Linked DNA regions of Yarrowia lipolytica. The protein of the gene in region 2 purifies or fractionates together with the protein of the main gene of each other region. This does not show direct contact. Links are inferred from orthologs where the notes say so. Each region holds a gene or a part of one and is shown on either strand. Other genes may lie near its edges. The genes, in order: YALI1_F27556g, YALI1_B29528g and YALI1_E35815g.

What was found.
Region 1: the proteins of YALI1_B29528g (region 2) and YALI1_F27556g purify together in Saccharomyces cerevisiae (affinity purification with mass spectrometry; 3 studies listed by BioGRID, with this or other methods). This does not show direct contact. The link is inferred for Yarrowia lipolytica from reciprocal best matches to the Saccharomyces cerevisiae genes PTC6 and PDA1.
Region 3: the proteins of YALI1_B29528g (region 2) and YALI1_E35815g purify together in Saccharomyces cerevisiae (affinity purification with mass spectrometry; 6 studies listed by BioGRID). This does not show direct contact. The link is inferred for Yarrowia lipolytica from reciprocal best matches to the Saccharomyces cerevisiae genes PTC6 and PRO2.

What each region holds. Positions count from the first base shown.
Region 1 is NC_090775.1:2,753,984-2,757,674, reverse strand, and holds YALI1_F27556g (uncharacterized protein), read right to left. Parts: upstream 2,061-3,691; coding exon 1,971-2,060; intron 1,646-1,970; coding exon 551-1,645; downstream 1-550. Other genes in the region: YALI1_F27574g (uncharacterized protein), read right to left, coding at 1-65, 144-178. UniProt on the Saccharomyces cerevisiae protein: The pyruvate dehydrogenase complex catalyzes the overall conversion of pyruvate to acetyl-CoA and CO(2).
Region 2 is NC_090771.1:2,951,135-2,954,896, forward strand, and holds YALI1_B29528g (uncharacterized protein), read right to left. Parts: upstream 1,719-3,762; coding exon 528-1,718; downstream 1-527. Other genes in the region: YALI1_B29507g (mitochondrial 37S ribosomal protein uS19m), read left to right, coding at 1-156; YALI1_B29539g (uncharacterized protein), read right to left, coding at 2,348-2,783, 2,840-2,883; YALI1_B29548g (uncharacterized protein), read left to right, coding at 3,682-3,762.
Region 3 is NC_090774.1:3,579,618-3,583,190, forward strand, and holds YALI1_E35815g (uncharacterized protein), read right to left. Parts: upstream 1,890-3,573; coding exon 582-1,889; downstream 1-581. Other genes in the region: YALI1_E35831g (uncharacterized protein), read right to left, coding at 2,745-3,479. UniProt on the Saccharomyces cerevisiae protein: Catalyzes the NADPH dependent reduction of L-gamma-glutamyl 5-phosphate into L-glutamate 5-semialdehyde and phosphate. The product spontaneously undergoes cyclization to form 1-pyrroline-5-carboxylate.

The DNA.
Region 1 (3,691 bases), on a different chromosome or scaffold from region 2:
CTTCGCCACTCTCTCTGTTGATGTGCCTTCTATCGGCCTGCACCACAATAGAGGACATCTCCTCGCTGTAGTTAGTAAGTGATCCAGAATGGCGTTTGTCACACAAAGCCGAGTCATATCACACCATCCCCTCTAATACTCACTATTTGTAACGAGACATGTCATTGTTGTTCGACATGATGTGCTTGGTGTCGTGGGTGTTGCGTGAAGGATTTATTTCAGCGTAGATGTGCTTATTTTCTGAACCATATGCATAACAAGATGTTAAAATTGGGTGGTGAGCCCACAGTGCAGCAGGGTCAATTTACAAGTAGAATATACTGCAGATTCTACGACAGATGCTTGTACTAGCCCGAGTGCGTGCCTTCAAAAGGGCAAAAAATGATAAAATAAATGGGATAAATTCTTTCTCACTTACTATTCACCATGTTTCTCTCGCAACATTTTCCACAATCACTTCAAGCTCACCCAATCTATGTACTGTACTCCTGCTTTCTACTCATTCTCAGAAAACGACGGCTCGTACATTAGTAATTACATTCTACTCTACTTAGTTCTTAAAGTAGTAGTCCTCGGAAGGGATTCGGCCTCGGATCACAGGAGGCTCGGTGCCGGGAACGTAGATATCCTCAAACAGAACCTTGGCAGTAGCCTCGGGAGCAGGGTCGGACTCAGCAAGGGCAACCTCCTTGTCAACCATAGCTCGAGCAGCCTTGTCCACAGACTTAAGCTCGTCCTCAGTGGCGAAGTTAAGCTCCAGGATGTGGGCCTTGAGACCAGAAATAGGATCGTTGTGGGATCGCATGTACTGGATCTCCTCTCGGGTTCGGTAGGTGGTTCCGGGATCGGACATGGAGTGACCACCGTATCGGTAGGTCTCGAACTCCATGACGAGGGGACCCTTGCCGTGTGTGGTCCACTCCTTGGCGAACTTGGCTCCCTGGTAGACGGACAGAATGTCCATTCCGTTAACCTTGAGACCGGGAATGTACTGACCTCGCTTGTAGTACTGCGTCAGGGCAGAGGATCGAGCAGCAGCGGTACCCATTCCGTACTTGTTGTTCTCGCATGCAAAGATGCAGGGGAGGTCCCAGAGCTTGGCCATGTTGTAGGCCTCGAAGATCTGACCCTGGTTGGAAGCACCGTCACCGTACAGGGCAAAGGTGGCCTTTCCGGTCTGCTCGAGGTACTTGTGGGCGAAGGCGAGACCAGCTCCGACGGGGACCTGGGCTCCGACAATACCGTTTCCTCCGTAGAAACCCTCGGTGAACATGTGCATGGATCCACCCTTACCGTAGGAGACACCGGTTCGCTTTCCGAGCAGCTCGGCGATGATTGCTCGGACAGAGGCACCTCGCATGTAGGCGAAACCGTGGCATCGGTAGGCGGTGATGACAGAATCGTCGTGGTCGATGGCCTTCTCGATACCGACGGCAACAGCCTCCTGACCAGTAGACAGATGGCAGAAACCTCGGATCTTCTTGGCCTTGTAGAGGGCATCAGCAGCCATCTCGAGTCGTCGGACGGTCACCATGTCCTTGTACATTTGCAGAAGCTCACCCTTGGTCATCTCGAACTCGAGAGGAGGGGGAGAATCAAGCATGTAGGTGGTGTAAGAATCCTCCTTGAGCGTGATTGTGCATTTCTGGGGTTAGTATACGGTCGATTGAAGCTGTTTTGCCACGTTTTGTGATGGATTGCTGGTGGGTGAGGAATAATTTTTCCGGGTGCATGCGTTCCTAGAGGTTCGATTTTCTCTAGGCCCGTTTCTCATTAACAATCTCAGCAGCGTCAACGAGACGCCACCGCCAGGGGTAATGGCATCCGTAGAATCATTTCCGAGGGGTCCCGCGTCGATGGCATGTCTGTGTCGTCCGTTTCGTCGTGTTTCGTGAGGCGTATGTTTCGGAAAAACTCCCTGTAACCCAAATCCACGACACCCCAACGCAATGGGCGAAAAAAATACTCACCTTGTCGGCATCGTCAGCGATGGAGTATGCTCGGACCTGGTGGCCGAGTCGGCTGGTGAGCCGTGTAGATCGTCGAGCGGCAGTGAGCATGGTCAATTGTCTTGTTTTCACACGGACTGGATTGAGAAAAGCGCCACTTGGATGAAGTTGCAGGTTCTATCTGTGTGTTGTCAAGTGAGGAGAGTCAATTTTAGGTCTGCTATGGGCACCACCACAACCCACTAATCGCTCACACCGGAGAAATGTCCCACCAACCTTATTTTTCTGCGCGGATATTGAGTACTGTTGAGCGTGTGGGGGTCTAACAGAGAGAGAGGGAGGGAGGGAGGCTAAGCAAGAGAGTGGTGATAGATGGTACGCATATTGGAGAGAAGTGATGAAAGAGGAGAGCGCACGATACTGTCATAGTTATAATACTATGATTCGGTCTCTCCACTGGGATTTCGCTGAAACCCCTATATTCTCTCTCGCGTTTTTATTTTCACCCAGTAGCCCCAATATACACCTCCTGTCACACATACATCAAACGAGAGGCTCCCATACGGCTGTTGAGCTCGCCGACTGGTTGGTGCATTTCTCGTGGGTGGGGGGCCAACCTGGCTTACTCTATACAGAGATATAGCCCCAATTGAGACCGTGCCTGGGAGCAGTTGACACGGCACAATTTCTCGGATCTGTACTTCCTTGTCAATGCGTTTGAGTCAACAACTTGTGTTTGCTACGATATATATCTATCGGCTATCGACTTACAACAGTTCAGCATTCCGAGTTGGGGCTGAACACAGCTCAGCATTCAGATAGGGTGGGTGCCTTTTCGCTTTGGCTAGTGTCGTCTACAAGTAGTCCGACCAATCACAACATCGTACTTGTATTTTCTTGGATCATTAGTTGAACTGAGAGCCCATTTTCAACCGTTGCTGAGACCTGCTGGTGTGCCCAACAGTTATCTCGGAGGGTGAGCGAGCTCCCAGATTGGCCATTTCGAAAGACTGCCTTGAAGTGCCCAATACGTCAAATTACTCGTACTTGTAGCTTGCATGAACGCATCAATGTGCAGCTCGCTGCATTTGTGGCAAGTAGTCTGGAAAATCTTTTCGTATATCGATACTGTTTTGGGATAATATTGGTTGTCTGTCCATCAGAGCATCTGTCTCTACCCCATTCGCCATGTTCGTACCAGTAGTCTCCGGTGGAAACGGTTTCATCCAGTTCTAAACCCTCCTGTCTAACTCCGACGACGTCAGATTTTTCGCTACAGTAGCTCAAAGAATGCATTCAACAGCTCGCTATTGGTATGTCCGAAATGTACTGGTAGGAAGAGAGAGAAAACTTTAGCCTGGGAAAAACTTCAAGAGCTCCCTGGGATCCTTTAGCGAGGAAAGTATTCGCGACCACAAAAAAAGGTCACCTGACTCTACACCCAAGCCAAGATAGCAGATGGATATTAAAGTGTCAGGATCTACAGGGATACGAGCTGTGAAAATCAGTCTCATCTGAGAATTGTTGTCAGATGTGAATTCATTTTATACAGAGAATGGCTAGACGGATGGACATCTACCTAAGATAGAAGATTATAACATATTGCACGGGATCAATCCTTTCTTGTGGTACTTCCAATACCCCGCGTAACTGTACGGATGCATGGTGTTTGTTGTGGTGGGGCTCCGATACTGTAGAGACGATAGCTGAGAGTATCGTACAGACGGGGGCATGGGAACTGT
Region 2 (3,762 bases):
GCAACCATCATCCCCCAGTTTGTTGGTGTGACCTTCCACGTCCACAACGGTAAGGAGTACGTTCCTGTCAACGTCACCCAGGATATGGTCGGAACCAAGCTTGGCGAGTACGCTTACACTCGAAAGCCCTTCCGATACCGACAGACCAAGAACTAATTTGTATATAGCCAAGATTCATGCCTCAGAAGCTGTACATACTGTACTGTAGCTTTACAGTGCCTGAAGAGCCACCTGACTTCACCTACAAGTAGCTATTCACATGGTGATACGCTAAAGTCTTTGTATCTATCCATAGATACAGCGACTTTTTCCACCCAATACGTAAGATGGGAATTTTGAGCCAGGATAATAAATCTCGCATCTTGGCTCTAAGAGTAATTGAACTTTTAGTTAGATTTTTAGTTGATACCGTAAAACATTAGTGGAACTTATCGGTGGGGGTAGTATGTACACTACACATCCACTGAATACTCGTGCTACATTCTTCAAGTCACATTGCCAAAGTTACTGTTTATAAATATACATGCCTACATTCGATTTCCACGGGAGTCGACATTTTTGAGTCGGTATTCTCGTAGCTCGCCGGTTCGGTCCACCTGCGAGCCATTGCCCCATCCTCTTAGACGGATAACCATGCAAGTGGCATTGTCCGAGCCACCCAAAGCCGCTGCGTACTCAACCACCTCCTGGGCAGCCTGCTGTGGCGATCCTCGTCCAGAACCGCTACTGTTGGCGGTAATGGTTACCAGGTCCACGATCTCTTGATCAGACACGTCGCCAGAAACTCCGTCGGAAACCAGCACCAGGAACTGTTCGTCCTGGAGTGCAACCTCTCGCACGTCGGGCTCGGCACTCACACCCTTGGCCTTCATAAGTGTGTCTCCAAAGGCTCGGGTGTTGGCAAAGACACCGAACCGCTCCTCGCCGAAGGAGTCCATGAAGAATGAAGATGCAAATCGACGCAGACGATCGGCCTCGGTGGGAGCGCTGGGATGGTGGTCGATGGTAAGAGGTGTGGCCTCTCCTTTGGCATCACAGATGATGCATCGAGTGTCTCCGACATGGGCCACTACTAGAGAGAGGTCGTTCTCTGGGTCAAACATGTTATCCTCAGCCCCCGGCGGTAGGGGACCGGCCTCTGAATGGGCCACATGGCGACAATACAAGAACACCGATGTGCATGTACTTCCTCCTTTACCTTCAAAATCGTAGTCGGCCTCCAGGAACGCCAACGGTAGTCGTAACTGGAAGTCGTCGTAGGGGCTCATTCTACCCCGGTATTTGTCCATCTGCTTCCATCGGCGCCAGTAGCCTCCAAACCGCTCCTTGTACTTGGTGGTAATGTCGTCGGCGTCGTTGAGGTCAGCCTTCTCGACATAGGTGGCCAGTTTGTCCTTAAGAAACTCGGAGCACTCGTCGGATCCGTGGCCATCGTAGACGGCAAAGTTGAAGACCTGACGCTCGGCAGACATGCCCTTTCGCAGAGATCGAGGCGCAAAAGTGCTGCCTCGAGGTAGTTTCAATACGGAGGCGCTGTAGCGGTCTTCGTTGTAGGGTCTGTTGACTCGGCTTGTGTAGTGTCCAATGAAGCCCGGAAGCGAAAGCAGGTTTATGCGGCCCGCCACGTCGCCCTGGCGATAGTGAAAGTAGTTGCTGACGTGTCTCGAGAATATACGGGGCAATGGCGCCCCAATTGTGGCTCCTCGTCGAGGCACCATTGTATGGATAGATGTTTAGGACAGGTCCCAACGAAGTTAAACAATCCCCGCATGGGCCAAGACGGAGGTGAAACCCTCAATATTAGCAAGCCTTAGGGGGTACATGGGGTCTTGTTGGGCGGGGCAAAAGGGTTTTTGAGCGGTATTTCTGTCCACTATGAAGTGAAGCCGTCATATCCCCCTGGTTACATCCCCTCGTGTAGCTATAGCTGTGTACTTGATATATGTTCCTGCACATTTTTCCGACATTAACAGCAAACCATATCCTCAAATTTGTATGACAAGCAACGGATAAACCCAACCTCCATGCCCACACGTTGAGTCAACTGAGTCACGCTTACAGAGCTCCACGAAAATGAACCCATGGAGCTGACTAATGAAAAATGGCTTAACTTTGGGGCTGTCATAACCACCAAACATTGGACAGGAGGGAGAAAAAAAATACATCTATTGACTAAAACATGCGAAAACCGCTGACCCACAAGCGTCACGCATACATATGTTATATTTAATGTTTAGTCGCGTGAGGGTGGATCAGCTCATCTCGGCCCTTGGATCCTCCTTCAAGACTCCAGTTCTAAAGTCCTCCAGCATCGCGTAATGCATTAATACGAACGCCGAGTATCACTCTAAGCAGCGTACTTTTTGACCTGCTCGGCCACCCGCTTATCGTACTCCTCCTTGTTCTTCTGGAAGGCGGCAAATGCATCGTTCTGGGCGGGAGAGTGGGGGTTGGGGTTGTTCATGAGCTCCTGGATACCCATGACAATCTCAGACAGCGTGATGGAAGGTCGCCAGTCCTCCTCCTCGTTCAGAATTGACAGACAGACGGTGCCCGAGGGGTAGACGTTGGGGTGATAGAACCCAGCATCAAATCGGCATCGTGGGGGTTTGGTCGGGTAGTCTTTGGGGAAGGTGATGAGCATGGGGTATGTGGCACCGGCCCAGGCGGTTCCTTCCTTTCCGGGGATGCCGGCGTTCCAGTTAGTGAGATCCAGGTTTCCGTTCTGGTCCTTGGCGGGCTTAGCAAAGAAGCCAAACGGATGTGACTTTCGCCAGGTTTTCCTGAGTTAGTTAAAACGGGGCGTCTAGGTGAATAAAGATTGGTCTTTGTAACTCACCGCTCTTCCATGAGTCGCTTCTGCATCAACGAGTCTTCCGACATTTTTGCTGGTTGTGTCTTGTGTGTGGTGTGTGTGGAGAATGCGATGTGATGATGTCTCCTAAAGAGGTTTTGTTTGTGGCCGACTATCTCCATAGTAACGTAGCTAACTTTCAGCACTCGGTTCGAGTCCTATGTGGGTATGGAAGTGAGGTGTTTTTATTATTCACGTGGGAGAGTCCAATCATAGAATTATTTACTTCATTTGGCGTATATTCTACGGAAAACCTACGCCCAAGATATTTGTTGGTGGTTTGGCTGGATTACTGACTTTCAATATTACTAAGCGTCAAGCCTCTCCCAGAAGGATCTACACCTATCAGAGCTCATTTAATGAAGATGTGGAACAAGTACGAGTACAAAAAATTGTCCTAACTAAGAGACCTTCTTGAAGCATCTTTTTCATTCATGATCCTTTGCATTCCGAGACCCCCTTGTTCCAAAGACACAAATTTGCACACTCAAGGGCCCTCTTTCTACAGCGAGACAGCTTGACTGACACTTGCCCCACGCCCCTAACCCGTACCCCACACACACGTTTGTGCCAAAAAATAGAAGCCAGAAGAGGAGGAAGTGGAGGAAGAATTTTCCATTGAATATTCCGTGGTATTAATTACCACTACTTCATTAATTACACCTGTCTCACCTCCTTGGTCCAAATCTAACCACTCAGACGGCTGATGATCATAGACTCCCCCTGCACACCCCACCTTGTGAAAGAAACTAAGTTGACCAACACCTTGATTTCCATCGTGTTCGCTTCTTAACCACACCCCCACACAGTTCACACCCACAAAAACAATGTCACACGAAGAAGATCTTGATGACCTCGATGACTTTCTCGACGAGTTCGACGAGCAGGTGCTGAGCAAGCCTCCTGGA
Region 3 (3,573 bases), on a different chromosome or scaffold from region 2:
CCACTCACAATATATGTAAGTTAAGTTATGTTTATACGACTTCCGGAGCTCGTACTATTGGTGTACTGTTCTGTAGAGTAGGACGAGCGGTTCCTGCTCGTACCTAGGGATATCTTGAGGATTGACCCATCACCGATCCGTTACACAGACATATCCGCAATAGTTTAGTGGCTAGAATTTCCGCCTGTCAGGTATATACCAGCACGCGGGGGACCGGAGTTCAATTCTCCGTTGCGGAGTTTCGGTTACGACCATATCTTGGTGAAAATACGGCTTCCCGTCCGATCAGCCATAGTCAAGCACCAGAGAGCCTAGTTAGTATTATAGTGGGAGACCATACGAGAATCCTGGGTGTTGTAATTTTTTTTCAATTGAGGCTGGTATTTTTTGGTTTATACACCTATTAGTTGAGTAAGCCAGACACTACTGACACAATCGTACAGTGGCTACAATAGTAGAAGTACACCGGTACGTACTTCACAATGTACGGTATGTACTGGTATGTATGGAATGTACTGTAGTCAAATATCAAACCCCATCATACTCCATGTCATTTTCTATGTGATCCAAGACTTGTCCGTCTAGTTCTCAAGAGGAAGGTCCTCATGCTTGAAAGGCTTGTCACCACCAGCTCCTAGGTAGGAGGCGGCAATCTGGCCGTTACCCTTGAGAATGTACTGGTAGTTTACCAGACCTTCGAGTCCAACGGGGCCTCGGGCGTGGATCTTGTTGGTAGAAACACCGACCTCAGTGCCGAATCCGTATCGGAAACCGTCAGCGAATCGAGTGGAGGCGTTCCAGTAGACTCCAGCAGAGTCGATACCCTTGAGGAACTTGCCTGCGGTAGTTTCGTTGTCGGTAATAATACAGTCAGTGTGTGACGAGCCGTGGGAGTTGATGTGGGCCATGGCGTCCTCGACGGTGGGCACGGACTTGGCGGCGATGATGTGGGCCAGGAATTCGGTCTTGAAGTCCTCCTCAGTGGCAGTCTTGCAGTGGGACTTGAGGTCAGCGGGAAGAGCTTCAATGAGCTCGGGGGTGGCTCGAATCTCGACGTTGGCGTCCACGAGAGCAGAGGCAACGGTGGGCCACTTGTCGGAGATGACCTTCTCGTTGATCAGCAGAGTCTCGACGGAATTGCATCCAGCGGGGTAGTTAGTCTTGGCATCGACAACGATATCGGCAGCCATCTTGGCATTGGCGTCCTGGTCGACGTAAATGGCGCAGATACCGTCGGCGTGGCCCATGACGGGGATCTTGGTGTTGTCCTTGATGTGTTTGACGAGCTCGTTGGAGCCTCGGGGGATGACCAGGTCAATGTACTGATCCTGGGACAGGAGAGAGGAGACCTCGTCCCGGGTGGCAATGAGCTGGATGGCTCCGGGGGGAACCTTGGACTTTTCCAGTGCCTTGGTGACGGCCTTGGCAATGGCGGTGAAAGAGTGCAGAGACTCCTTACCTCCCTTGAGGATGGCAGCGTTACCAGACTTAATAGCAAGAGCAGTGATGTTGGCAATGACCTCAGGTCGGGCCTCGAAGATGACGAGTAGGACTCCAACGGGACAGGTGAGTCGGTACAGCTCAAGGTTGTCGTCCAGCTTTCGGGCGAGAGTCACCTTTCCAACGGGATCGTCGAGAGAGGCGACATCGAGAATACCCTGCAGCATGGAGTCGTACTTGTCGCCGGTGGACAGATCGAGTCGCTTGATGAGAGAAGGAGACAGGTTGGCGGATTTAGCAGCATCGAGATCCTTGACATTGGCAGCAATGACCTCGTCCTTGGCCTCTCGAAGAGCATCGTGGACCATTTTGAGGGTGGCAGTTCGGTCATCGTTGGACACGGTTTTCAGCACCGTGGCGGCGAGGTGGGCTTTCTGTGCGATTTCCATTTTTTTTGTATGATCCCAATATGTGGTGACAAATGTATAGTGATGTGTGAAGATTGAGATAGGCCATAATGTGGAGAGATTGGTCACACTTGCTACCAATTATGCTTTGGGTTAGGGTGAGTTGTTGGGGGCTGGAGAGCTTCATGGGGCGTTTGGGGCATTTATGTGAGGTTTTGGAGAACGATTAAAATGATTTAATAGTATGGTTGGTTGACTTATCAACTTTCCAATTCGAGAATATCGACTTTTCCTCGTTGATGACGTCACCATGTGCGGCCATGGAATCAGTTAACCTCTGGTAGCAGCATCTTAGAGGCATCCCAACTTTGCTGGGTCCAAGGTTCAACACGAGGGATGGGAAAATTGTGGAGCGATATACTTGTAGTGTTGGCCATCGCATGGGAGCTGTCAATGACTGTTTGTTTGATACACCCGAAGTAAATAATGGTCTGTGTAAATGATTAGCAACTTATCATACACGATATATTGTCAGAATTTCCCGTTCTGTCCTGTCGTTCAGGAACAACCTCGGCTTAGCAGGAGGCTAAATTTCTTCGAAGTTTGTTGTCTACGTCTTCTATCACCGCCACTTACAGTCACCTATACTACGCGTTAGTTGTGCTATGAAATAGGTATTATTACTGAATAAATATGTTGTAGCATTTAACCGCTCAAGCTCGCCCTCTACCCTAGCCTTTGCATCTTCTAATGCCCTCGTTCCCTTCTCGGCTGCCTCCACGATCTCCGCTCTAATCTTCAACTCTTGTCGAATCTTCCTCACATTCTCCTCGGGCACCACTTTGCAGTTTGCTACAAATAGTAGGAGGTGAACGGGAGATTCCACACTTCCCGTGTTCACAAGCTCGGAGCAGGGTTTGTTGGTACCGACATGTTCTTCTTGTGACTGGCTTTCGCTGGGTTGCCTGTCCCCGAAGTTTTGTTTCCGGCTAAGTTGGATTTGGGGATTCTGACAACAGACATGGTAGAAGCACCACGATGAGACCCATATGGAGTGGCTGTGAGGCCGTCGAGAGTGAGAGCCTCGAGAGCCTCGGTGCTTTCATCGTCTGAATCCTCGCTTTTGAGATATACGGACCGCTGGGTCTTGATCTTACGACTATCGCTGACCCGTTTGCACAGCAGGCTTCTCATTTCGGAAGGTAAGCTGTAGAAGCCCGAATCTGCAAACACAAGAAGAGGGTCTGCCTTGACGTACTCAACGATGTAGTTCTGAACTCGAGCCGATGACGCTATGGAAGCCCGCTCCCAGATGAGAATTGCTTCAGAGCCACTTCTGATATCCCACCCGACCAACACATCCTCCAGACACGTGAAGAGGTCGTGCTTCATAGATTCTGCAGCCATCATAAGCATGCCCGAATACACGTCTAGAGTATCGTAAGCGGAAACAGTGTTTCTGTAGATCCAGGACAAAAACCCATGAACCCAGATCTTTGGATAGTCCACTTGGGCAAAAAAACCATCATAGGTAGACTGGAGTCTGAAGCTGACCCATTGCCATTTCTCGTTGATAGTTCTGGACGAAGTGTGAACGTGACCATCAGTGCACAAGAGTCTTGTGTCGTTCATTGGAAATGCGGTGTACTGCGTATGGAGTGCGTGTGGTGTGTATGATTGTGTGTGAGGTTCTCTAGTTATTTGTCTCCCTCGTGTGTCTATATAT